Linked DNA regions of Saccharomyces cerevisiae S288C. Changing the gene in region 1 together with any one later gene gives a genetic interaction. Each region holds a gene or a part of one and is shown on either strand. Other genes may lie near its edges. The genes, in order: MIS1 and AEP3.

Region 1 (16,482 bases):
GAAATTTCGCTATCGCTTGGTGCAGGACAACGAATCAACAGACAACGGGATTTGATAGGAGCAATTATAGGCGACATCGAATCGCAGACCATTATCAACCTAATGTTTTTGGAGTATTTTTCCATGGTACGTCTTAAAGCAGCTTGAGCATCTTTTGTTAACGAGTTCGCCTCGTTGATAATAACACACTTATATCTATGGGCAAGTCCATCCTTAGAATCTTGAAAGTCCACTTGTTCCATTTGAGCCACTTCTTTCAATAGTTCTTGGATGACAATTCTATCATTGTTACCCATATCACTTGGCGTGATCTCTAAATGGTATGGCGAGCTGACCACATTCAGTTCTAGTTTTCTGTTCGAAGCAGTGACAAATTGTCTGACATCAATTTTCAATCTATAGACTCCAGGTCCAAATATGGACTCCAATAATGCCATACAACGCGTTTTCTTACCTGTACCATTTGGTCCATACAGTAAAAGATGAGGTAAATCACGAGGCTGATCAGATAACGATTTTAGAAAATTTGTCAACTCTTCATTATGTGAAAGAGCATTCAAGGACTTAGGTCTGTATTTATCTACCCACAATGACATGTTTGTGCTGTACTAATCTATAATTTCCATGAACCATCATACAAATGAAAAGTCTATTTTATGTTCCAAGGAATAAAAAATCGCGTTAAAATATTCAAGAGGCGACACCGCAGTGCTTCTAGAAAAGATTCCTCAACACGGTGTACATATGCATAGACTCGATACATAAATTTGACTACAGCATCTTACATAAATTTACAAAACTATTTTATTTCTGACTCCAAGATCCTAAAACAGCACGAAGCATATTATTGCGCATAATTTGTTCTTGTAGGATCTTTTCTTGACATTTTTTTTCACTCTGCGAGAAACTTCTCTTTTTTTTTCCTTCTAGGGACGAAAACAAACAAGGGCACTTTTTTTTATCTTTTTTTTTTCTCTGTTGTTTTCAAAACAAAAAGATTCCACCACTACATCAGTGTGAAAGACTGTAAAAGCTTTCTGATAAATAAGCACTTTCCATATTTTTCAACTGAAAAATAGTTTTCTTTTTGCAGCTATTATTGACTTCATTAAGAAATATCCCTTTTTTCCCCGTTGCAATTATTTCTATAAGGGAAGCTGGAAATAGGGGGCTGGAAAAGATATTTGAACAGTCGCTCCAATAACCGTTCTCACCATCATTAACATTTTTGAAGGTGAATACTGTTTCGGTCGATTTATGGCTAATTTGTCAAATACATTTGAAAAAGATTAAAACAAGCACAAGCGGTTGAGCATACTATGTCGCAGACAATTACATCTCTAGATCCGAATTGTGTTATTGTATTCAATAAAACTTCGAGTGCAAACGAGAAGAGTTTGAATGTCGAATTCAAACGTTTGAATATACATTCTATTATCGAACCTGGCCATGATCTGCAAACAAGCTATGCGTTTATTAGAATCCATCAGGATAATGCGAAACCGCTTTTTTCATTTTTGCAGAATCTGGACTTCATTGAATCCATCATACCATATCATGATACTGAATTGTCCGATGATTTGCATAAACTGATTTCTATCAGCAAATCAAAAATACTGGAGGCTCCAAAACAGTATGAGTTGTACAACCTATCGAATTTGACCAATAATCCCAAACAATCCTTATATTTTGCATTCTTACAGAACTATATAAAATGGTTGATTCCCTTCTCCTTTTTTGGATTATCAATTAGATTTTTATCTAATTTTACGTATGAATTCAATTCCACATACTCGCTGTTCGCCATCCTATGGACATTGTCATTTACAGCCTTTTGGCTTTATAAATATGAACCATTTTGGTCTGATAGACTGAGTAAATACTCATCATTTTCTACCATTGAGTTTCTTCAAGATAAACAGAAAGCCCAAAAAAAAGCTAGTTCGGTTATCATGTTGAAGAAATGTTGTTTTATTCCTGTGGCTTTGTTGTTTGGCGCAATATTACTATCATTCCAGCTATATTGTTTTGCGTTGGAAATTTTCATCAAGCAAATTTATAACGGCCCAATGATTTCCATCTTGTCTTTTTTGCCTACTATACTTATTTGCACGTTTACTCCGGTTTTAACTGTGATTTACAACAAATATTTCGTAGAACCAATGACAAAGTGGGAAAATCATAGCAGTGTTGTGAATGCAAAGAAATCTAAAGAAGCTAAGAACTTTGTTATTATTTTTCTATCCAGTTACGTTCCCCTATTAATTACACTATTTCTTTATCTGCCAATGGGGCATTTGTTGACCGCAGAAATAAGAACTAAGGTTTTCAATGCCTTTTCAATATTGGCCCGTTTACCTACCCATGATTCAGATTTTATTATTGATACAAAGCGCTATGAAGATCAATTTTTCTACTTTATTGTTATCAACCAACTGATTCAATTTAGCATGGAAAACTTTGTTCCAAGCCTTGTTAGCATTGCTCAGCAGAAAATTAATGGACCAAATCCTAACTTTGTCAAAGCTGAGAGTGAAATCGGTAAAGCTCAACTCAGCTCATCAGATATGAAAATTTGGTCAAAGGTTAAGTCGTACCAAACAGACCCCTGGGGAGCAACATTTGATTTGGACGCCAACTTCAAAAAGCTTCTTCTACAATTCGGGTATCTTGTTATGTTTTCTACAATTTGGCCACTAGCTCCATTTATCTGTTTGATAGTCAATTTGATTGTTTACCAAGTCGATTTGAGGAAAGCTGTGCTTTATAGTAAACCTGAGTATTTTCCATTTCCAATCTACGATAAGCCATCCTCTGTGTCTAATACCCAAAAACTGACGGTTGGTCTATGGAACTCTGTCTTAGTTATGTTCTCCATCTTAGGTTGTGTTATCACTGCTACTTTGACCTATATGTACCAGAGCTGTAATATACCAGGTGTCGGCGCTCATACTTCCATCCATACGAATAAAGCTTGGTACCTAGCAAATCCAATAAACCACTCGTGGATAAATATTGTACTATATGCTGTTTTTATTGAGCATGTTAGTGTTGCTATTTTCTTCCTTTTCTCTAGTATTTTGAAATCTTCCCATGATGACGTTGCAAATGGCATTGTGCCAAAGCATGTAGTTAACGTGCAAAACCCACCAAAACAAGAAGTCTTTGAAAAAATTCCCTCCCCTGAATTTAATTCGAATAACGAAAAAGAACTAGTTCAAAGAAAAGGGTCTGCGAATGAGAAGTTGCACCAAGAACTCGGTGAGAAACAGCCTGCCTCTTCTGCCAATGGATATGAGGCACATGCTGCCACTCATGCCAACAATGATCCGTCTTCTTTATCCTCAGCCTCCTCGCCTTCATTATCTTCTTCTTCTTCTAGCAGCAAAACCGGTGTAGTCAAAGCTGTTGATAACGATACAGCCGGATCTGCTGGTAAAAAGCCATTGGCCACAGAAAGTACTGAAAAAAGAAATTCTTTGGTGAAGGTGCCTACCGTTGGCTCATATGGTGTTGCGGGCGCCACTTTACCAGAAACAATTCCAACATCTAAAAATTACTACTTAAGGTTTGATGAGGACGGTAAATCCATTAGGGATGCGAAATCCAGTGCAGAATCTTCCAACGCCACCAATAACAACACCTTAGGCACGGAAAGTAAGCTTTTGCCAGATGGTGACGCCGTTGATGCACTAAGTAGAAAAATTGATCAAATACCCAAAATTGCTGTTACTGGTGGCGAAAATAACGAAAATACCCAGGCCAAAGACGATGCTGCCACTAAGACTCCACTCATTAAAGATGCAAATATTAAGCCTGTTGTCAACGCAGCTGTTAACGATAACCAATCGAAGGTTTCAGTGGCTACTGAACAAACAAAAAAGACTGAAGTAAGCACGAAAAATGGCCCATCAAGATCTATTTCCACGAAGGAAACTAAGGATTCTGCGAGACCATCTAATAACAATACTACTACTACTACTACTACAGATGCTACTCAGCCCCACCATCATCATCACCACCACCGCCATCGTGATGCTGGAGTGAAGAATGTCACGAACAATTCTAAGACAACCGAATCCTCTTCCTCTTCATCGGCGGCAAAGGAAAAACCAAAACATAAAAAGGGGCTATTGCATAAGCTGAAAAAGAAGCTTTAAAAAAAAGCTAGGACGATAACAAATTTTATTTTTATAATATGGTGACATTAAATTAATATGTATTCTTCTTTCTATCAAGTGTATGTTTTATGTATCTCTAATTTTAAAAGAATAATTCATTTTACCTTGTGCAGTGTTTTCATCAAACAGAAATCTCAAGATTTAGTTTCTACGCATGCATTGCCTCTTTCTTCTTCGTTCGAGAGGAGTCACAGCTAGGATTCATTACGTATGTTAGTCACACGATTATATCCAGGGGGGTAGAACATACCGACCATAACTTTTTTGCCGTTTTTCTATTAACCGCGGCTTCTATCAGGAAACCCTTTTTCAGCAAATTAAAAGAGAGCGAGGCTAAAACTCTCTGGTGGCAGTGAAAGATTCTAGGCCGGGTCCAGTTTCTAGGGGTAAAATAGAGCGCAAAAGATCTCGGTGCAGATCTAAGGCGGAAGAAAAGGAAATGTGATCCGATTTTTTATGGAAGCAAATAGAAAAACAGGATCAAACGCTTTTGTGGGCGGGAGATGTTATTATGTAACGGGGCTTTTATTAGCATGTGAAATGCTTTGTAGAAGGGCATCCCTGGAGCCCTTTTGGGCCTTACAGTACATGTTCAAGATTGGCCGACTATTAGCAGAACTACAACTAGGGTTGCAGTGGGAAGTATGAACGATAGGGGTAAGTCTAAATGTGATATAGTTACAGCTAATAATATCTTCTTGCTTAGTTTTGTTGAATATATGTTGCTTCTGAAGTACGTGCAGTTACGTCAGTGCGCGCATACATGTTATCCATATTCCTTTTTCCTCTTTTTGACCCGCACTTCATTTCGCGGTTTTTTTTCTTGTTTTGGTTTGCCCCCATTAATTATCTGATCTGGGCTTTTTCTGGCAATAAGTAGTTATCACCGGATCATCTCATTATTATAAAAGGGACAAAGGACTTGCGGCTCCAGTTTGTATAAGGGAAAGCGGCGCACTCTTCATTCGATAGGGGCTCAAGTTACCAACTACAATAAATTACATTATACTATAACATGTCATCTGCTCTATACAAACAAAGCACAAATTTTACTCATTCTACCGGTTCTTTCTTGCAAAGCGCACCTGTTGAACTGACGACAGTCAGTGGGTACCAGGAGTTTTTGAAGAAGCAAGAGAAAAAGAACTATGAAATTCAAACAGTTTTAAGCGAGGATAAATCACATGGTTATGTGCTAAAGGACGGCGAAGTCATCGCTAATATCATTGGTGAGGCCAAAGATTATCTTTTGGATTTGGCCGGCCAGGCTTGAACGAGTGGCTAAATATTTGTTCGATACGAGTCACTTCATGCACACTTTGATTTGCACTCTTATTGCTGGGCTGTAGTTTTCTTTTCCGTTTTCGCTTATAAATCTAACATGTTCTATTAGGGGAAAGAAAGGCGCAAATTGTAGAGTTTGTTAGGTCTTTTAAGTACTTGATTTCACCAACCGAAAGTGAAAGAAATAAAAAAAGATAAAGCTATTATTATTACCATGACCCTGTCATTGGTTTAAAACGTTTGTCCGTCTGCTTTTGATGTTTTTAAAAAAAATTTAAATAAATATTCTAAATAAGTGAATTACAGGCTGGTAGATAGTTCGTATACGTATAAGTTTTTCATTTAATTAATTTCGTCTCTATACCTGGACGCATTGTAGTTGAGTTTTCTAGAGATTTGGAGGTGTCTTAAAGCATCCGAACTGGGAGGTCTCGCAAATCAGAGGTCTTGGTCAAAAGTGCAAAATTCTTTAAAGGACGAATACTGAAAGTATCGTTTGCTGCTATTCATTAGGCAACCTCATCTTACTTCGGGACCGACAGGGAAAACAGTCACACGTTTTAAAAATGGATTTTTCCCTGTCTAGTATAGTATGATCAGAGCAGGAACGGCGCTCAACTACATGCGCGTTGTGGTACGTCCGCTCTATGAAAGGGCATTTCCTGCGCAGCCGACTACGGACCCTTTCAATAACTTGTTTTACCCTCTAAAATCCCTTAAACATGACTATATATAATTAAAAGGCGATGTATCACATGAATAGAAAAGCTCGCAATCTTTTCTCATTTTTAATTCTTGTCAGTTTTGAATTTCTCAGTTGAAAAATATCCCCAAAAAAGACCTGAAATTTACTCAACCAATTGCGAAAAATTGATCATCTTTTTCATACTATGTCTTTCATTTCCAACGTCCACAAGTACTGTAGAAATGTCTAGCGAAAATTATGAGAAAATAATGGTGTAATCGTTATAAAGTTTGCTAAATTTTTGTCTTGCTTTTGAGAGGGCATATGTTTGCGCAATCCCAAAAAATATTTCAAAAATATTAAATTTCTTTGAATACTTCATTCTCAGTAAGAATTATTCTTTTTTAACAGGAACTGAACTTTTATCCCGTTGAGAGGACGATGAGAATGTTGGAAATAGTCATAAGAAGGTCCTAAGTTTGTATTCTTCTGAAATCTTTCTCCCTTTTTGCTATGAAATTTATTTGAGAATTGTCAAAAAAATAAAAATAAAATGTTAAAATTAAAAACCAAAATGTAATAATACTGACAATAATTGATTCTTATCTAAGTTCTCGAAAACCCTAACAAATATTATAAAATGGATCAGGATGCTTATCTTGAAGCATCACTCTCCAAATAGTGAAGGTTGAGTCTTAGAACCGTTATGTTTACCATTGATCATTGGCAAACTTTGGCAACAAATTTCTCAATGGAATGTAGAACAAAAACGCGGAAGCTCTTATAAGGTCTACACCCCGAAAGGAAAATTATGCTCATCTTGATAAAGCTTTGAGAAATTATCCTGGATAGTTCCGTTGAGCTCAAAACTATGGTTCTGATTTCTAAAAATTCATTGGCGCTTCCGTAATTAACGCTAATAATTGGATCGTTAATTAAATGGTAAATACGAAAAATGGGTATAAAATTGATAGCCAAGGTACTTAAAAGGGGGGGAATGCACTTAACAAAGAACCTTCATCATTGTGGAAAACTTGGAGACAATGTCCAAATTGTGTGAAAATTGCTATCCAACCATCTGAAAGCCGAAAGTTAAAGGTCTCAAGTTCACTTCCCCAAAAAGCAATCGAACAACAGTGGCTGATTTACAAATTTATTCAGTTATACTCTATAATAAAAAATAAAAGAAAGCGATACATAACCTTCCTACTATTTTTTTTCTATAAACAAGTTGGCGGCCAAAATCAAATCGATCGAAAGGTGAAGAGAAGTCGAGAAAATGACTTTTTTCTTCATCCAACTGATCATTTGAATTTTTTACCGAACAATATCATTTGCAACTGGTCATACATGGAAATAACACCAGCTCCAGCAACACTTCTCAAGATATTTGCCCCGCAGCCTTTGAACAATGACCCTACACCTTCAGAAGCTACGATTTTTTTGAGACAATCTATAGCACCGTTGTACTTTACTGCTTGACCTGAAGTCATCATCATTCTTCTTCTCACTGTGTCTAATGGATAAGAACATGTTGAGGCACCTGTAGTGACCACCCATCCCAATAAAAATGAAGCCAAGAATGAACCATCTAATGAACCAGTTAGCACCAGTGGCTTGAGAGAATCAAACATACCGAAATATAGTCCTCTATAAACCACGATACCCACTACTGATGGCATGAATCCTCTGTATAATCCTGCGATACCATCCGATTTCAAGGTCTTTTTATAAACATCAGTCAACCCATTGAATTGGCGAGCGCCACCCTTTTTCGACGATTTTGCATCAGCAGCAAGTCTGGTTCTGGCAAAATCTAAAGAATAAACAAATAATAACGAAAGAGCACCAGCTGCACCACCAGAAGCCAGATTACCTGCAAACCATTTACCATAGCCTTCCTCTTTCTTGAAACCAAACATCAACTTAATCTTATCTTTGAAGGCGAAGTTCAAAGCTTGAGTGGGAAAATAACGAATAACATTGGCAGTATTTCCTCGCCAAAAGGATATTAGTCCCTCTTGCTTTGCAGTTCTCTTGAAACAATCCACGATACCGGAATACTTTTTATCTAAAGTTCCTTGCTTGATCATTTCATCTTGATTTTGGATCAAGATCTTGACTCTTTCGATTGGTGAGGCAGCAGTTTTAGCGATGGCCGCACTCACACCACCCATTAAGAAATTAATGGCAAAGTTTGTTTCTTGTTGCTTAGCGTCGCTACTCATTGTTTCTCAAGGCACAGTATATCACTTCAGGTAAACCGTCTTCAATTGAGTTAATTATACTCACACCACTTCTTTAGTCTTTCTATCTGAAATCATTCAAGCGCACTTTAGATTCACTTCAACGCCTAATGAAAAGGACAATGGAAAACCCTTCTCGAGAAATCTTATATGTAATTTGAAGGCAACCAAACAATGAAAAAGAAAAAAAAAAAAAAAAAGGAAAAACTTTATTTCAAAATTCGTCAACCCACTAAGGTTTATTACAAGTTCGTCTCATTTCCTTTTTTACACCCATGCATTTTGTCATCCAGACATTACGCATTTTCCGTGAAGATTTTTTTTCTTCGTTTCGTTTAATATCCGTTCTCGGTGAGGAGGCCATTGGAAGCATGTCTTCCGCTTAGCACCAGACTGAGAGAGAGTGCGATGCTTAGCATAATTTTGGTTGCCTCTTCGAATTGCTCCTGACAGTGTACTATACGCTGGCCGGGGCCGTGGCAATCCCTGGGTAGCAGCTGGCATGGACTCCTTTCACGAATCCTGCCAGACTAGGGCGGTCTCAGTTGGAAGCCGTCTTCCTTGCAAACTACGATAGGCATCGACCTAACTTCTCTGAGGGGGAAACAAAAATATAGGTTTGGACAGTGATCAACAGAGAATACAAGGTAACTATTGATTTTACGCTTCACATAGAAAGTTGATTAAGAACTCCAAAGCAAAAATGTATGTGATGCAGTGAATAATGAATCTATGAAAGTTTATCAGGAATAAGATAGAATTGTTATAATAACTCCCTCTTGAGGAATGCGAGTTTGATGAGTTATCACCTGAAACACCAGCGTTATTGAAAAGTGATATGGGTAATATATGCCAAGAACGATACTGTGTTCCATTTGCATCATGAATATGCTAGTGAAGCCAGATGTTTCTATAATCGGAGTTTTAGCACTAAAAGGCAAAAGAGGAAACTTGTGGAAGAATTTTTTTTCTGTGCAGTTTACCATTAAGATATTTATAGCGATAAGTGAGACCATTAATATGAGTATTCAATACGAGAACCAGTTACGTGATAAAAGTTACTCGAGCTGCTGCAGTATCCAGCATACATAATAACCATGTCATTTTTCTATAGCGAGTTTTAAAGTGTCTACCACCGCAATTTCTATCTTTCGACGCGAATAGACTTTTTCCTTCTTACAGAACGATAATAACTAACATGACTTTAACAGGGCTAATTTACGTACTCAAAAGAGACTTGCCGCTTCTGTCGTCGGTGTCGGTAAGAGAAAGGTTTGGTTAGATCCAAATGAAACCTCTGAAATTGCTCAAGCCAACTCCAGAAACGCCATTAGAAAATTGGTTAAGAACGGTACCATCGTAAAGAAGGCCGTTACCGTCCACTCTAAATCCAGAACCAGAGCCCATGCTCAATCTAAGAGAGAAGGTCGTCACAGTGGTTACGGTAAGAGAAAGGGTACCAGAGAAGCCCGTTTACCATCCCAAGTTGTCTGGATCAGAAGATTACGTGTCTTGAGAAGATTATTGGCTAAGTACCGTGATGCTGGTAAGATTGACAAGCACTTGTACCATGTTTTGTACAAGGAATCTAAGGGTAACGCTTTCAAACACAAGAGAGCCTTGGTTGAACACATCATCCAAGCTAAGGCTGATGCTCAACGTGAAAAGGCTTTGAACGAAGAAGCTGAAGCTAGAAGATTGAAGAACAGAGCTGCTCGTGACAGAAGAGCTCAAAGAGTTGCTGAAAAGAGAGATGCTTTATTGAAGGAAGACGCTTAAATTTTCTTTAATTAATTTATCTTAATATACATACTCAGTTAATAAACAGGTAGCAAAAACTTCGATAATACGTATGTATGCACATATACCTACATAACTAAAACCCATTTTTCTAATATTCTCATCTCAATTGTTTATATAAAGGGTACTCGTGCAGACGGACATCGAGGTCGAATTGATGCCATTAGGAGTCTGCCAAACTATTTAAAATAGACCTTCAATTTCACCGTCGTCGTCGACTTCTACTGCCATGTAACCAGCATATGTCGATAGACCCGGTATGGTTTGAATTTCTGCAGCCAAAGCGTATAAATAACCTGCACCTATTGAAGCTCTCACATCCCTGATGGGGAACGTAAAACCTCTAGGAACACCCTTTAATGATGGATCATGGGATAATGAATATTGTGTCTTAGCAATACAGATGGGAAGATTACCGAAGCCTTGTTTTTTGTAGGTGTCTATCTTTTTTTGGGCTTCTGGTGATACTTCGATTTTTGCCCCACCATACATTTTTTGGACGATGCTGGTAAGCTTGTCCTCGATGGAGCTATTGACGTCGTACAAAAAGTTAAAGTTCTTTGGTTCTTTCGTTGCATCTACCACAGCATGTGCTAATTCTACTGCACCTTTACCACCTTCCATCCAGTGATTAGAAGTAACGGCATGAGATGCGCCAGCATTCAAGGCTGCTTTCTTGATTACCTCAATCTCTGCCTGTGAGTCTGTTTCAAATCTGTTGATTGCTACAACGACTGGTATTCCAAACGTTTTGATGTTTTCAATCTGCTTAACCAAATTACTAACACCCTTGGCAACAAAATCGATGTTTTCCTCTGTGTATTCTTTTGGTAATGATTGTCCGGGCTTAACATTTGGAGCACCTCCATGAGATTTCAAAGCTCTTACGGTTGCGACTAAGACAACTGCATCTGGCACCAATCCAGAGGAACGACATTTGATATCAAAGAATCTTTCACCACCCATGGCAAAATCGAATCCTGCTTCAGTAACTACATAACCAGGTTCATGGATGTTCTTGTCATTTAACGGGTTCTTTTCTGAACCAACAAGCTTCAATGCCATTAAGTCTGCAATTACTGATGATGCGCCGATGGAGATGTTGGCGAAAGGACCAGCGTGAACCATTACGGGGGTCCCTTCCAAAGTTTGCATTAAGTTAGGCTTTATAGCGTCACGTAATAATGCAGTCAGAGCACCGGTACAGCCAATATCTTCTACTGTTACTGGTTTGTTATCATAATCAGCACCAATAACCATGCGTCCAATACGTTCCTTCATCTCGTGTAAGCTTTTAGATAGAGCTAAAATGGCCATTAATTCAGAGGCAACAGTGATATCGAATCCAGTGGTCCTTGTAAAACCCTTCTCCGTAGCGGCTTCGCCAATGGTAATTTGTCTTAACATCCTGTCATTGATGTCGACAACTCTTCTGATAGTGATAGTATCGGGATTTATGTTCAATCTAGCAAATCTTTTGACTTCTTCAGGTGTTAAAGCATCAGGGTCTTCTTTTTCAATATCCAATCTTTTAAGCCTTCTCTGCATGGATGGGGTAAACTTTCTGATGCCTTTTTTTCTTGGAACTAGTCTCTTGTAAAATGTACTATCATTCTTCTGAGTGGCTTCATGGAACATTCTAGTGTCGATAGCTGCTGCAAGAAGATTGTTCGCAGCGCTGATAGCATGAATATCCCCGGTCAAATGTAAATTGAACTCGTCCATAGGAATAACTTGGGCATAACCACCACCAGCAGCACCACCTTTGACACCCAGGGTTGGGCCAAGAGATGGTTGTCTAACGTTCGCGATGGATGGTTTCCCTAAATGAGCGGATAAAGCCTGCACCAACCCCATAGTCGTAGTGGATTTACCTTCACCCAATGGAGTCGGAGTAATACCTGCAACAAGGACGTACTTACCGTTTTCTCTAGATTCTAATCTTTTAAAAATATTTGGAGAAATTTTTGCCTTATAGTGGCCGTATAATTCTAATTCGTGAGAGTGGATTCCCAACTCCTCGGCAACTTGCTTGATATGCTTAGGACTCTGAGCTCTTGATATATCAATATCTGAAGGCACTGGACTTTCTAAGTGTAATGGAAGAGGTTTGATAACTGGAAGCTTTTCAGATTCCACGAATTGCCTTTTAGCAGCTAATAGTACATTGGAAACAAGCATAGCGACAGTCATTGGACCCACTCCACCAGGAACAGGGGTAATATAAGATGTCTTTTCCTTTACAGAATCAAAATCAACATCACCAACTAATTTTTGCCCACTTTTCTTACTGATATCAGGTACGTAGTTGATACCTACATCAATAACCACGGCGCCTTCTTTAATCCAGTCTGATTTAACGTATTGAGGAATACCGCAAGCTGCGATAACTATATCAGCTTGGGAGACCACTTCTGCAATGTTCCTTGTATGACTATGACAGACAGTAACAGTGGCATTCGCATTTTTCAACAACGAAGCAATTGGATTTCCGACGATACTTGATCTGCCTAACACGACGGCGTTCTTACCATCTAACTTAACATGAGCTTCTTCAAGTAATTTCATGCAACCATAAGGAGTACATGGTATGAAGTATGGTTTCCCTCCTTTTTTAGCCAATTCACCAGCATTATATCTGTGGAACCCATCAACGTCCTTTTTAAAGTCCACAGCGTTTGTAATCGTGGTTTCATCCAAGTGACGCGGTAGAGGTAGTTGAATTAGCAACCCATGGATAGAGTCATCATCATTGATGTCACTAATTTTCTTCAAAAGCTCAACTTCAGTGATTTCTGCTGGTAACTTCTCTATGATACAGTCTACATTGCTGTCCTTTGAAGCTTTCAATTTCATCCTCACGTACGTAGATGAGTCTGGTCTGGCCCCGACTTGAATGATTTTCAAGGTAGGCTTGAAATTAGGATGCTTAAGCTTAATGGCTTGTATCTCATCATTGGCTTTTTCTCGAATAGATTGAGCAAGTTTCCTACCAGAAAGAATATGGTATTGAGAAGCATGCACAGTTGGCGAAACTTTTAAGCGGTAAATGCGCCATCTGGCCTGTTGGAACGCCCTCGAGTTACTCAATAAAGATAGTCTCGACAACATTTCCTTTTAGCCTTAAATATCTGACAAATGAACAGACTGAGAGAATCACAGTAATGAAAGTTGTTTTTTGATGTGTATTGGCTGGTTTACTTCTGCAATTCTTGAGGCATCGAGAACCGCTGCAACATTATTTCGGAGGAAAAAGAAAAAAAATCGCTGTCCGTTGAAGTGAAAAAAATTTCAGCATGGCGCTAGAGAACTTTCTTACTCGTTCTGGCGCGTCAGTAAAAAAGAACTCGGGAAACAATAAGAACCATACATGTGCGATAGAAGAGTGTTGCAGGAGTAGCTTTGGTTTTGTTCGAGAACTGGTAATGTTTGACTAATACATAATTGTACCGTGCTCAATCATATCTGTGACGGTTCTTACTACGAAGATACGTATGCGTATTTATGTACGAGATGTATGTATGTATGTAGACATTTAATAAAAGTTCCCATGCGATTGGTTGGATGGCGTAAAGTTCCTTTGATGTGGAGAATGTTCGTAATGCTGGGGTGATGATAATAACAGCTGCGAAAAATAAGATGTTTGGTACTGGGGCAGACCTTGAATATAATTGGCATTGTAAGCATCTTCAGCAGGTCTTGGATACATGGGCCTTCCTCGTACTTTGGAGAGTGAGTAGGGCATTCCATTATTCTTGTAGTATGGCACTGGTCTGCTTTGGAGTTGTGTGACTGTGGCTGATCTTGGGACTACTTCTTCCTCCGATTCGTACTCTGAACCGGAATTGGAATTGGAACTGAACTCAGGATTACTTTCATGTTCTTGTATGCGGGAAATTCTTTGGTATTTGTTGATTATCTTTCTCTGCTCTATTTCGATTTTTTTTGCACTCTCCAGGATTGCCTTCTTGTTGGAAAAGCTAGCCTTATTGGGGCGATCTCCCTGGTGGAGTTCCGTGGGGGAAAGTTGTTCAAGAGGCCTCTTTGACGGAACGCACTTGTAGCCGTCTATGTTTTCATAAATGTGCTTAGCGTAAATGAGGGGGGTTTTGGCTTGAGATGCAGCATTAGTTTTTATGAAATTTTCAATTTTTTTCTCGTTGGAAGCAGTGATTGGCGTAAGCAGTTTTGAATGTACTGACAATCCACTGCTATTATTACTTACATAGAGGTTTTTAGGGGTTAAACTTCCAGAATCACTGACTGAAGGTAGAGAGTCGATAATTTCTTCAAATATGTCATAAAACAGGTTTGAGTTTTCAGTAGTTTGTTCAGCGCCATGTTCGATAAGGTGTAGAAGCTCCTTCTCCTTTGATGATAGGGTCAGCGAGTCCTTGATTTTGTTTTGTATGGTCTTCTTCCAGACTTGAATATGGGAAGAAATTTGCTTTTTGGTTCTGAACTCGTTGGTTTTGTGCTTGATATATAATGAAATCAGCTCGTTTCTTCCAAAATTGGCATTTCTTATTTTTATTTTTGTGGTCCCATTTTTCATTATCAGTCTAAGTGCCTCAAGGAATGCCTCTTCTACCTTTTCTGACCACTTATCACAACCGATAGTCCAAGATTCCGTTGTTGACGACGTTTCGCTACTTTGTCCGGGAAAGTAGTTGCTCACAGATATATTTGGTACTTCATTCTTCCTCTGCTTGTCAGTGAACGTAGCCTTTGCTGATGGAGATTTCAAATCGTCCGATTTAGCACCCAGTCCAGTATTTACCAGTTCGAATTGAGGATGCGTGTCTATGAGATTGATGTTATCCTCCGCTTCATTTTTCACACAAGCGGCGGTTGAAACTACGGCTTCTGGAAACATATCATCCAAGGCCGACTGTGAATACGAATCTTTTTGTATATATACGTCAAAAATTCTACCAGTATATGATTCTATATTTCTAGAATTATCCTTGCCAAAGTCGTCTTCTTTAAGACTCATGGTTAAACAGGTATCAGAATTGTTGAAATAGGTGGATTATTCTTCTTGTCGATATGGGAGGAATCTGGCACCAGTCGAAGAATCTCCTGTTTCATAAACATTTATAAAAGTAAGAAAAGGGTTGTCATATGTAAAAAATTAAGCAAGCCTTTTGTTTCAAACTTAATATATACCTCTGCGGGGGAATTACTTTTTTGGTAATAAGCTATTTTCTCCAGCTATGGGCCGTACCATCGAGAGAAACTCCAGCACCATGGATTGCTGATGGTAGCTACAGGTGCTTTTTAACTGTGCATGAGCCAAGAGCCTTGTGAGGGACCATTCGTGGAGTCCAGCTCAGCTTGTTTCCGGAGAGTTTCCCAGAATAATAAGCAAACGCAATCTGAAACACGCACATTCCCGAATTCAATGGGAAATTCTTTGAGTCGTACGCGGAATGCGAGCGGTGCCGGGGAATTCCAATGAGGCTGATTAAACCGGACTACGGGCAAAATGGCTCATCTGAAACACCTTGCGCCGATAAAAGACCCTCACCTGTGTCACTAAATGGAAAGAGTTGGCGTAAAATCTTCCTGTAAAAGGATCTCACCATTTTGGCCTAAAACATCATCATATCTGTTTTCGTGGAAAAAAAAGGCCGCTCATACATGAATACAGTGGGCACATGCCACCTGTTATTCCATAGCTGGCTTTACTGTAATATTAGAATAGTTCCTATCTGTGTGAAAAGTTTCTTTCGTTACCTTTTTTTCAGAGTCAAAAGCTGGAGGAGGCTATTGTACTTGCCTGTAGTTCCAGGTAACAATCGCTTAAGCAGTGAGCCCGCTTAATGAGAGCAAGTTATATATGTTTTGCTAAAACCTGCCAGATTCTCAGCCTAGAAGATATAAATCTAACGTGGATTTGTTACAGGCTGTCATACCTTATGTACTTACGCATCGTATCTTGTATGTGTTCACTTTTTTCTGGTAACTACACCACTTGGCTTAACCTTGCCAGGAACCGAGTAGGCCACACATGTTTTGAATATTGTAAGTGTGTACAATAAGCTGCAGTACTCTTTTGATTCTGTAGGAAACCAGCGAAGAACGTACTCTTGCCTGAAGAGAAGTTTTTTTTATTTATTTATATTTTGTTCTGGAAGCTCTTTACAGAATGGAGTAGGAAAATATATAGAGAGGAAAAGCGAAATCGTTACGAGAATAAATAATCAAGAAAAGAAACTTGAACTTGGCTTTTCCAAAACAACAGAAGTAGCGTTAATTTACTTTCACCGTAAAATTCAACTCT
Region 2 (8,559 bases), on another chromosome or scaffold:
TGTAACCGTAAATCATACTTCTTACTATCTGGGTGTGCTTGCAAAACAAAATGTGTTTCTGAGAGTACCAGATATATATATCCATAAAATCCAGAGACGAAAGTGTTTAGAACAGGCGGAAACTTTGTTCCTCTCTGCCGCCTAATCTCATTTAAATCGAGCATCGCAGTTTGCTCACCAATACAAGTCAAGATCACCACCGAGAAGCGGGTCCAATCATACTGAGGTTGCTGTAACGTCTTTCTAAGGTCATTTTCCTCATATTCTAGCTGTTTAGAAGCCAATGGCTCAAGATCTTTTTTAAGCTCTGCTAAAAACAGAGAACCCGATTGAACTGCACACTCTACTTTGAGCCAAGTAAGAGATGATATTCCGGCAAGCACCAGATTCTTAAAAACTTCCTGCAGCAAAGGTGTAGCAGGTCCTACCACGCACACACGGGACCGGTTCAAACTATCTTGGCCCAATGCTCCCCATAGTCTCAGCTGTCTATCATATCTTTCCATATTTTCATCTACGGCTGTCTAGTTGGCCTAAGAAAGAAAGAGAGGCGACTCATTTTTTTGACGTCAATCGTCTGACTTGTCCTTCTATTTCATTGCTAGGCTAGAAAGCTTAGCTCTTACAACCCCGCTCGTTGCAGCCGAGTGAAAAGGGGATTGCGAAAGGCGTTAGAGGGGATAAAAAGGGGCCCTTTAAAAAAAAGACGGAAAAACCGGGAAGATGCAACGGCTAAATCGCAATATATAAACAGGTGAGATAGAAAAGAAAAAAATCAGTTAACCTCTTTCCTCAATTCCAATGCTTGACCGTAAATTCTCTTTATTTGGTATACGAAAGATTAAACTTTCAAAGCTCCAACACAAGAATGCACAGAACTTACTCTTTAAGAAATCAAAGAGCTCCAACGGCTGCTGAGCTACAAGCTCCTCCACCACCACCATCCTCAACGAAGTCCAAGTTCTTCGGAAAGGCCTCTATTGCGTCTAGTTTTAGAAAAAATGCGGCTGGTAACTTTGGGCCAGAGTTGGCTCGTAAATTATCTCAATTGGTTAAGACTGAAAAAGGTGTCCTTAGAGCTATGGAAGTTGTTGCCAGCGAACGCCGTGAAGCTGCAAAGCAACTGTCTCTATGGGGTGCTGACAATGATGATGATGTTTCCGACGTAACCGACAAATTAGGCGTCTTAATATATGAGTTGGGTGAACTACAGGACCAGTTCATCGATAAATATGATCAATACAGAGTCACATTAAAATCAATTAGGAACATTGAAGCCTCTGTTCAACCTTCGAGAGATCGTAAGGAAAAGATCACAGATGAAATTGCCCATTTGAAATATAAAGATCCTCAATCAACAAAAATCCCAGTTTTAGAGCAAGAACTAGTTCGTGCCGAAGCTGAATCTTTGGTTGCGGAGGCTCAATTATCGAATATCACACGTGAAAAATTAAAGGCTGCTTATAGTTATATGTTTGATTCATTAAGAGAGCTTTCTGAAAAATTTGCCCTGATTGCTGGATACGGAAAGGCCTTATTGGAGCTGCTAGATGACTCTCCTGTCACTCCAGGTGAAGCTAGACCAGCGTACGATGGCTATGAAGCTTCTCGCCAAATTATTATGGATGCTGAATCGGCCTTGGAATCTTGGACCCTAGACATGGCTGCAGTCAAACCAACTCTTTCATTTCATCAGACCGTTGATGACGTCTATGAAGACGAAGATGGTGAAGAAGAAGAAGAACCTGAAATCCAAAATGGAGATATCCCCGGTCAAGTAGTCGAAGAAGAGGAAGTTGAATGGACTACTGAAGTTCCTGTAGATGATGAAGCCCATGAGGCCGATCATCATGTTAGTCAAAACGGTCATACCTCCGGTTCTGAAAACATCTGAGTTTTTTCTAATAATTAATATATTCGAACCTTTCTATATTGTGCTTGTTTTTCACCAGCTCGTGTCTACCTATTATTAATTTCATCTGAATTTGGTTCAAGTATTGTTCGGCCAATATTCCGGTATTGTAATCACCTTTATAATTAATTGAACAAATTTTATAAGACCTAATAATTAACCTTTCTCTTGTTCTCCTTTGCCGTAAGAGATTCAACTTTTCGAAGTCTAATTAAATGAATATGATCTATGAAGTATATATGTACAATAAAAATGCCTATATTAATAAAATTCCTGTCCAAATGCCAGGGCACTTATGCCTCCCTCATCAAACCTCCCCAACTATTCTCCTCTTTACTAGCTCTTTTTTGAAAGCTACATCATTGTCTTTGATATACGCCATTCTTTTTTCCAAAGCAGCCTTTGTGGCTATTGCTTTAACCCGATTTCGATATTCTCTTTTTTTCTGGGAAATGTTTGAGGGTAGGTTTGTGGGCTTCTGATGATCTTGTGCTGTATTGGTGCAGCGTAAAGTAGTGGGGATACAACCCAAAAAACGTAGTATTTTTTTTTGTGAAGAATCACTTTCTTTCCAAATTTTCCAAGAGAACTCACCCTCGGAAGCAATCAGGTTGCCCAACAATTTTCTTGCTTTTTCAATTGACTTTTCTGATAGCGTATTAGGACTACCAAATTTGAAAATTGAGTCTGCTTTGGTTCTCCAATAACTTGTCCGCAATCCAAATCCTTCACTAACCTTTAAGTCTTTGATATACTGTAGGACTGCCCCAAAATTCTTGGTGTTGCCATTCCTAACTAACGCTTTAAATAACATTTCGAACGTCTGAGAATCAGGTTTAATTTTGTAAATCTTACGACAAGTATTATAGCAAAGGAATGCCAAATCACTTCTTCCCTTATTAGCAAATACCCGCATGAAATGATTCATTGCCTCCGAGTCCAACTTAAAATTACTTTTCAAGTGCTGAAAACCATAGTCAAGTAATTTAGATGCGGTTTCAAGTTGTTCCTCGTTTAGTAGTCGTTCTATGCACAGATAGAACGTCTTACGGGAAATCGGTAGTGAATTTGCTGCTAAAACTTTTAAACAGTCCTCTGCTCTATAATCTCCGTTCCTTAGCACAGTATAAACAAAATTTACGTTAAAATTTCCTAAATGTTCACCCATTTGAACAATGTACAATTGTCTCGAAACTTCATCACGAAGAAAGTTATAACATGTCGTCCAAGTTATTACATCTGCAAAAACTCCATGATTACGCATACTTCTAAGATAAAAAAGGACCTCATCGTCAGGGTGCTTCGTTTTTCTAATATGCGAGTTTTTCACTACATTACGCAGTAAAAGATTAAAAGTGATTGTATTTGGTTTAGTCCCCTCAGCCTTCATTTGTGCAAATATTTCTCTACAAGACGCAAAGTCGAAGTGCTCACTGAAAAAGTATATTGAGTCATTATAAACTTGAGCAGAACGCAACGGCAGAGTCGTCTTATTGGTTGGATGAAGTAGGTGCCGCAGCATCTTACGCACAATACCATTTAGTTTGGAAGATGAACGAAAATTGAACTTTGTATGACTTAGTATTCCAATATAATTTTCAAACAATTGAGGGTTCTTTGAAAAGTCAGGGAGAGGAGGGATCTCGTCATTACTAAACTTAAGAAACTTACGAGTGAAGCGTTCTGGCCCTGAATTCTTCTCATTCGATGTGCAATCTATCAGTAGCGTCAATAGTTCTCTAGTAAACTCTTGAGACTTTGCTGTAAGAAGTTTCTGGAATTTATTCGAGGAATTCGTTTGTTTAGAGAACATATACATTCGTTTTGCACGTTCCTCATCATAGTCATCCCTAATTTGTTTCCTAGAAAGCGTTAAAGTCGGCAGGCTTGAAAGGTATTCCTTAACTTGCTCCCTTTCATACTTCACACCATGCCGTACTATTTTTTTTGCCTCTCCATTAACTGACGTTGATGTTGGGCTATCTATTATTTTTTCATCAACTTTCTTGACATTTGCAATTGGTATACCCTCTCTGAACAGGCCTGGAAATATTACTTTCTGATATAGTTTTGGAGCTTCTCTCCCACTTTTGGATAGTGCTTGTGTCAAACACCTTAATGTATTCATAAATATACTAAATGGCTAAGGATGCCCAAGAGTGCCAGAAGATGCCAGAACAAAATCACCCCGAAGTAATCGGTTTTAGTTCTTTTGGCCTTTCCTCTTTTGAAGTTCTGTGTGCGAAAATGACGATTTTCGCCCGAAACCAATAATACTTTTATGACACTATTAAAGATTAAATATAGTAGAAGTATCTAACTTCAATGCACGATAACAACGAAGCCTGTGTTAGTGTTATCATTTCTGACTCGAAAAATTTTCCCACAGATTTTCTGGTGTGGCATCAGAATAATTAACGAATTTTTACCTATTTTTTCACTACGTAAAATATAGTATAATCTGCTATGGCTAATCTTCTGCTTCGATGGAATCGTCCCTATAGCTTTCACCACCAAACAATGAAAGTAAAGCAGGTAAAAATAGGAGAGCATGCAATGCTGCTACAATGATTAGTGTAAACCACATTCTAAAGTAAAATACATCAAATATTTTCGATTGGGCGAATGCAAGTACACAAACTCCAATGAATTTGGTTAGAGTTATACCTTTGATGACGGACTCACCTATGGTATTCAAGGAATAGAGAACTCTTGAGTTTGCGTCTTTCTTGGTTTCACTGGGGACCACTGTAAATGATCTAACAATATGAACACAAAACTCGACACCCAAACCGACACAAATAATTAAATTGACTAAACTGACAGCGTTGAGTGAGATACCTAGTAGGGCCATCAAAGCACCAATATCTACGATAATCATGGTAACGACCAAAGCCAGTAAGAATGAGCTGCGTATATTCTGCAAGAAAACAGATGAAATGAAAAAAATTAGGATAATGGCACTCCCTATTAGCTTCAACGTCAATGGTCCCAAAGTTTGATATTGAACAAAAAAAATGTAAAACGGCGAGTATGCAAACATATCTAGTTCGGGGAAAGAACTTGATATCCTAACTCCATCACTATACGCCTGGATAAAGTCCTTTTGGGATCTCAAAGGATGATGAGCTGTTCTGAAAACTGACGCAGACACACTCGTTTCATTATAAACTAACGCAGTCGAATATGGCGCACGACCACCTAGAGGGCAGGGGTCACTAGGCGCATTAATCCATATGCTTAGGTATTCCATGAAGTCCTTGCCCTCAGGAAACCCTGACATGTTGTAATTCCAAGAACCCTGCTGGAAACAAGTTTCACAACGTCTACTTGGAAAAGAGGGAGGACAAACCTCATCTGTTCCCTTCTTTAATCTACAACACTGGTCGTTTTGAGGATTTAAAAACATGAAATAATCGTCCAGCCAATTAGCCAATGGCTCCGTAATTGTTGACCTGTGTCTTTCTTGCTCCAGTACATTAGCTAATGAGTCTCTTTCGCAAGTTGTAAATTTACCACATATTTTCTGTTGGTTTTGTCTTTTAGTCAAATCTAAATTCTTCACGACCATGTAAACCGGTGGTCCTACGTTTAGGAAGCTATAAACATCCTTAAAATAGTCAACCAGGTAGGAATCCTGTGGAACAGCCAATGTTTGATCTAGCCCAAATTGAATTTCTGGTAAGAAAACCAGAGATGTGAAAAACCAAGCCGAGAAGATAATGATTATGAGCCTCTTTTGCGTTAACATCTTAAAATAAAACGTTTTCAAAAATGATTCCTTAGTTTCTTCATTTCCGGTAATTTGTTTATAATTGGATCTCTTTTCGTAGAGAGACAAAATGGACACATACGCTGTTAGCTGTAATACTCCGTTGAATATAACAGAAACTGTGGAATATATAGCAAAATTATGGACAGCTGGCATTGTAACAAATGCAGCTATCAAGAAGCATCCGGTTTGACATAGCAATGACATTAAAATGGAAGGAGACATTCTCCCGATAGCGCTTATTATTTTTTGATCAATTGAATACTCCGGTTTTTGCTCGCAATTTCTATCATACTCATGTGTAATCAAGAAAATATTATCTATTCCTATTGCTAAAATTAGAAACGGTATTACTTCTGCTATGATCAATGTCGACTTCAAACCAAAAAGAGTTAAAAATCCGGCTGCACAAACAATAGAAGCCAAAACTATGAGTAAACCAGATATTCCAAGTAACAACCTAGTTTTCCCATCCTTTCTCCTCAAGGCCCATGTAGCATATAAAAACATCATCAGGTATGATATTGCAACGGTCGAGATATCATTATTATTATTAAGCTCTTTTTCCAAGGATATTTCGGTATTAAAACTGATCCTCAGGCCCTCGGGGACCTTTAAATCCAATAAATACTCTTCCAATCTTTCTTCCCAGCGATTAGCTGATTGAGTGTGGTTGGTCAATAGAAGTGTTACAACAAACGCATGCGCATTGAGAATATCATCGTCACTGAAAAGAAGATTAGTTTTTAGAGGTTGCTGGAAAGTAGGTAGACAGTTTACAGGAAATTTCCCACATTCCTGCAGTTCCCTTTTCCAGCTATCCTTGTTTGGTAAGGCCCCCTGAAAATACTGAGTAAAAGACTCTATTACGCATGTAGAATCTTCTGTTGGTCTGAAGCAGAGATCTTGGTATCCAATATTTTCTGACGATTGTAGCTCTTCCGTAATAAAATTTTCAACGTCAAACCACCAGTGAAGTGTCTCATATGATAACACAGGGCCTGTCTCATTCACAACAAATATTTGCTCTGTCCTGTAAAATGGCCCAAAATTATCATCGAAGTACTCTTTTTCTTTGAATTTTTCAGAATTTTTACTCACCCACAAATTAATTGGATCTGTTTCAAGAGTAGCGTACTGAAATATGATGAAACTGAATACAAAGATACTAAAAACAGTGGTTATTAATATCTTGTAGGGGTTTTCAACGGAAAATTGTCCCACTTTCGTAAATAGGTTAGCGAGTTTACCATTAAAAAAGTTAGTTTCATTATTGAAACTTTCGAATACATTCGTCTCTGATTCATCTAAGGAACCTGATTCTGGAACAATATCGTCGTCCACAATCATTGCCCCGTTTTTTTTTCTTTTACAGAGATAATACCACATAAATGCAAAAAGTGCACAGATTGTGTAAAAGATCAGAACAGAAAGGGAAAAACATGGCAGAGGGCCAACTTTACACACGCCATCTTTTAAAGGTTTTAAATGGGGGCAAGACTCTTGACAATCAGAACACGCACATTTATATTGAGCATCATCGCAAGCATAAACCTCATCATTAAATTCCTGCCATTCTTTTTCTTCATTTGCTAAATCATACTTGTAATTAATCTGAAAGGGGGATCCACCAAGCATAGGTTTAGCATCCCCCAAAAACTTCAAGAATTGACTGTAATTTTTAGCACCACCTCCGATTAGGTCCATCGCATAACCGTTGGTAGCAGAAAATTTAATATTCTTACATGAGTCATAAAATTCAGATGCCCAAGACGAATTCATGAAAACGTCTAATTCCGCAACAATATCTTTATCTTCTTTTGACTTTTCTACCTTGGTAATATTGACAAACCTTCCTTGGTCAGCAGCGCAAGTGAAGTGACAGAACAGGTTATTAAAATTCTTGAGGCATGCTGGGCATGAGGAAATTAAAGGTTGAGCCTTTTGTAGGTTATCTCTCAGTGCTACCACTTGATCTTTAGTACAGCAGGCATAACGGACCTCTTTCCACTCTTCACCACAAACTTCAACCAAAAGTTTGCTTGTTTCATCTGAAAGAACAGGAGGTTCAAAACTACGTGGCACAGGGCAAGGTAATTCGTTTCCAAATACTGACTTTTTCCCACAGTTCCCATACATGGCACAGGTAGCTGTTCCCTGAACGAGCCGCATCAGCTGGCCAACTAGTGCTATAATCCATAGCACATTCATGGTTTTACTAATTGAAGTTCTGCTCTTGTTCTTTTTGGAGATGAATTTAGTTATCTTCTACACAAGAACGTTGTTATACTGGTTGTTGATGTTCCTCTCGTTTGGCACTCCCGCTATATAAACGCTAAGGGGGTCACCCGAGAAGTTCAAGGCTCTTTATCAGAATATCGCAAATAATCTTTAGTACTGTAGGTAATGGGCTAGCGCCATCCAGAAGTCTAGTTTAATTGCCAAAAAGTGGCGCTCTTGATGTTAGTGATGGGAAGAGAATATCTTGACTACTCTATCGTTCGGTAATAGTTAATTACTGGGATGCGCTTAAATGATTATACAAGTTATTTATGTCGACGACTGCCTGTAGAAAAACAATGTAGCGAATACCTGCATAGCAGTTCAATAATAGGAGAGAATCATTGCGTATATATTACGAAATACCACAACTGCAACACATTTATGTAAGATTAAATTGTTGCTTACATCTGTTGTGACATTAGCCACGGTATGCAATTAGCTGAATGATTTATTTCAATAAAAAAGGAAATAGACCTTCCCAAAGATAATCCAACTTCCCAGCATTTGCTTTTGAAGTTTTGCTTCGTATTGGAAGGCTTTAAATGGCGTATTTCTTCCGTCATTTCGCACCTTAAGTGTATTCTGTTTCTTA

What was found.
Region 2: mutations in MIS1 (region 1) and AEP3 are lethal when combined (synthetic lethality), as found in Saccharomyces cerevisiae (one study listed by BioGRID).

Annotation. Positions count from the first base shown.
Region 1 is NC_001134.8:407,879-424,360, reverse strand, and holds MIS1 (trifunctional formate-tetrahydrofolate ligase/methenyltetrahydrofolate cyclohydrolase/methylenetetrahydrofolate dehydrogenase MIS1), read right to left. Parts: upstream 13,308-16,482; coding exon 10,380-13,307; downstream 1-10,379. Other genes in the region: RFC5 (replication factor C subunit 5), read right to left, coding at 1-596; IST2 (Ist2p), read left to right, coding at 1,320-4,160; YBR085C-A (uncharacterized protein), read left to right, coding at 5,197-5,454; ADP/ATP carrier protein AAC3, read right to left, coding at 7,455-8,378; 60S ribosomal protein eL19 RPL19A, read left to right, coding at 9,100-9,101, 9,608-10,175; TEC1 (Tec1p), read right to left, coding at 13,732-15,192. UniProt on the Saccharomyces cerevisiae protein: Mitochondrial isozyme of C-1-tetrahydrofolate synthase.
Region 2 is NC_001148.4:543,967-552,525, reverse strand, and holds AEP3 (Aep3p), read right to left. Parts: upstream 4,041-8,559; coding exon 2,220-4,040; downstream 1-2,219. Other genes in the region: ULA1 (Ula1p), read right to left, coding at 1-506; lipid-binding protein LSP1, read left to right, coding at 869-1,894; NCR1 (sphingolipid transporter), read right to left, coding at 4,383-7,895. UniProt on the Saccharomyces cerevisiae protein: Required for respiration. Stabilizes the mitochondrial bicistronic mRNA encoding ATP6 and ATP8, 2 subunits of the proton-translocating ATP synthase.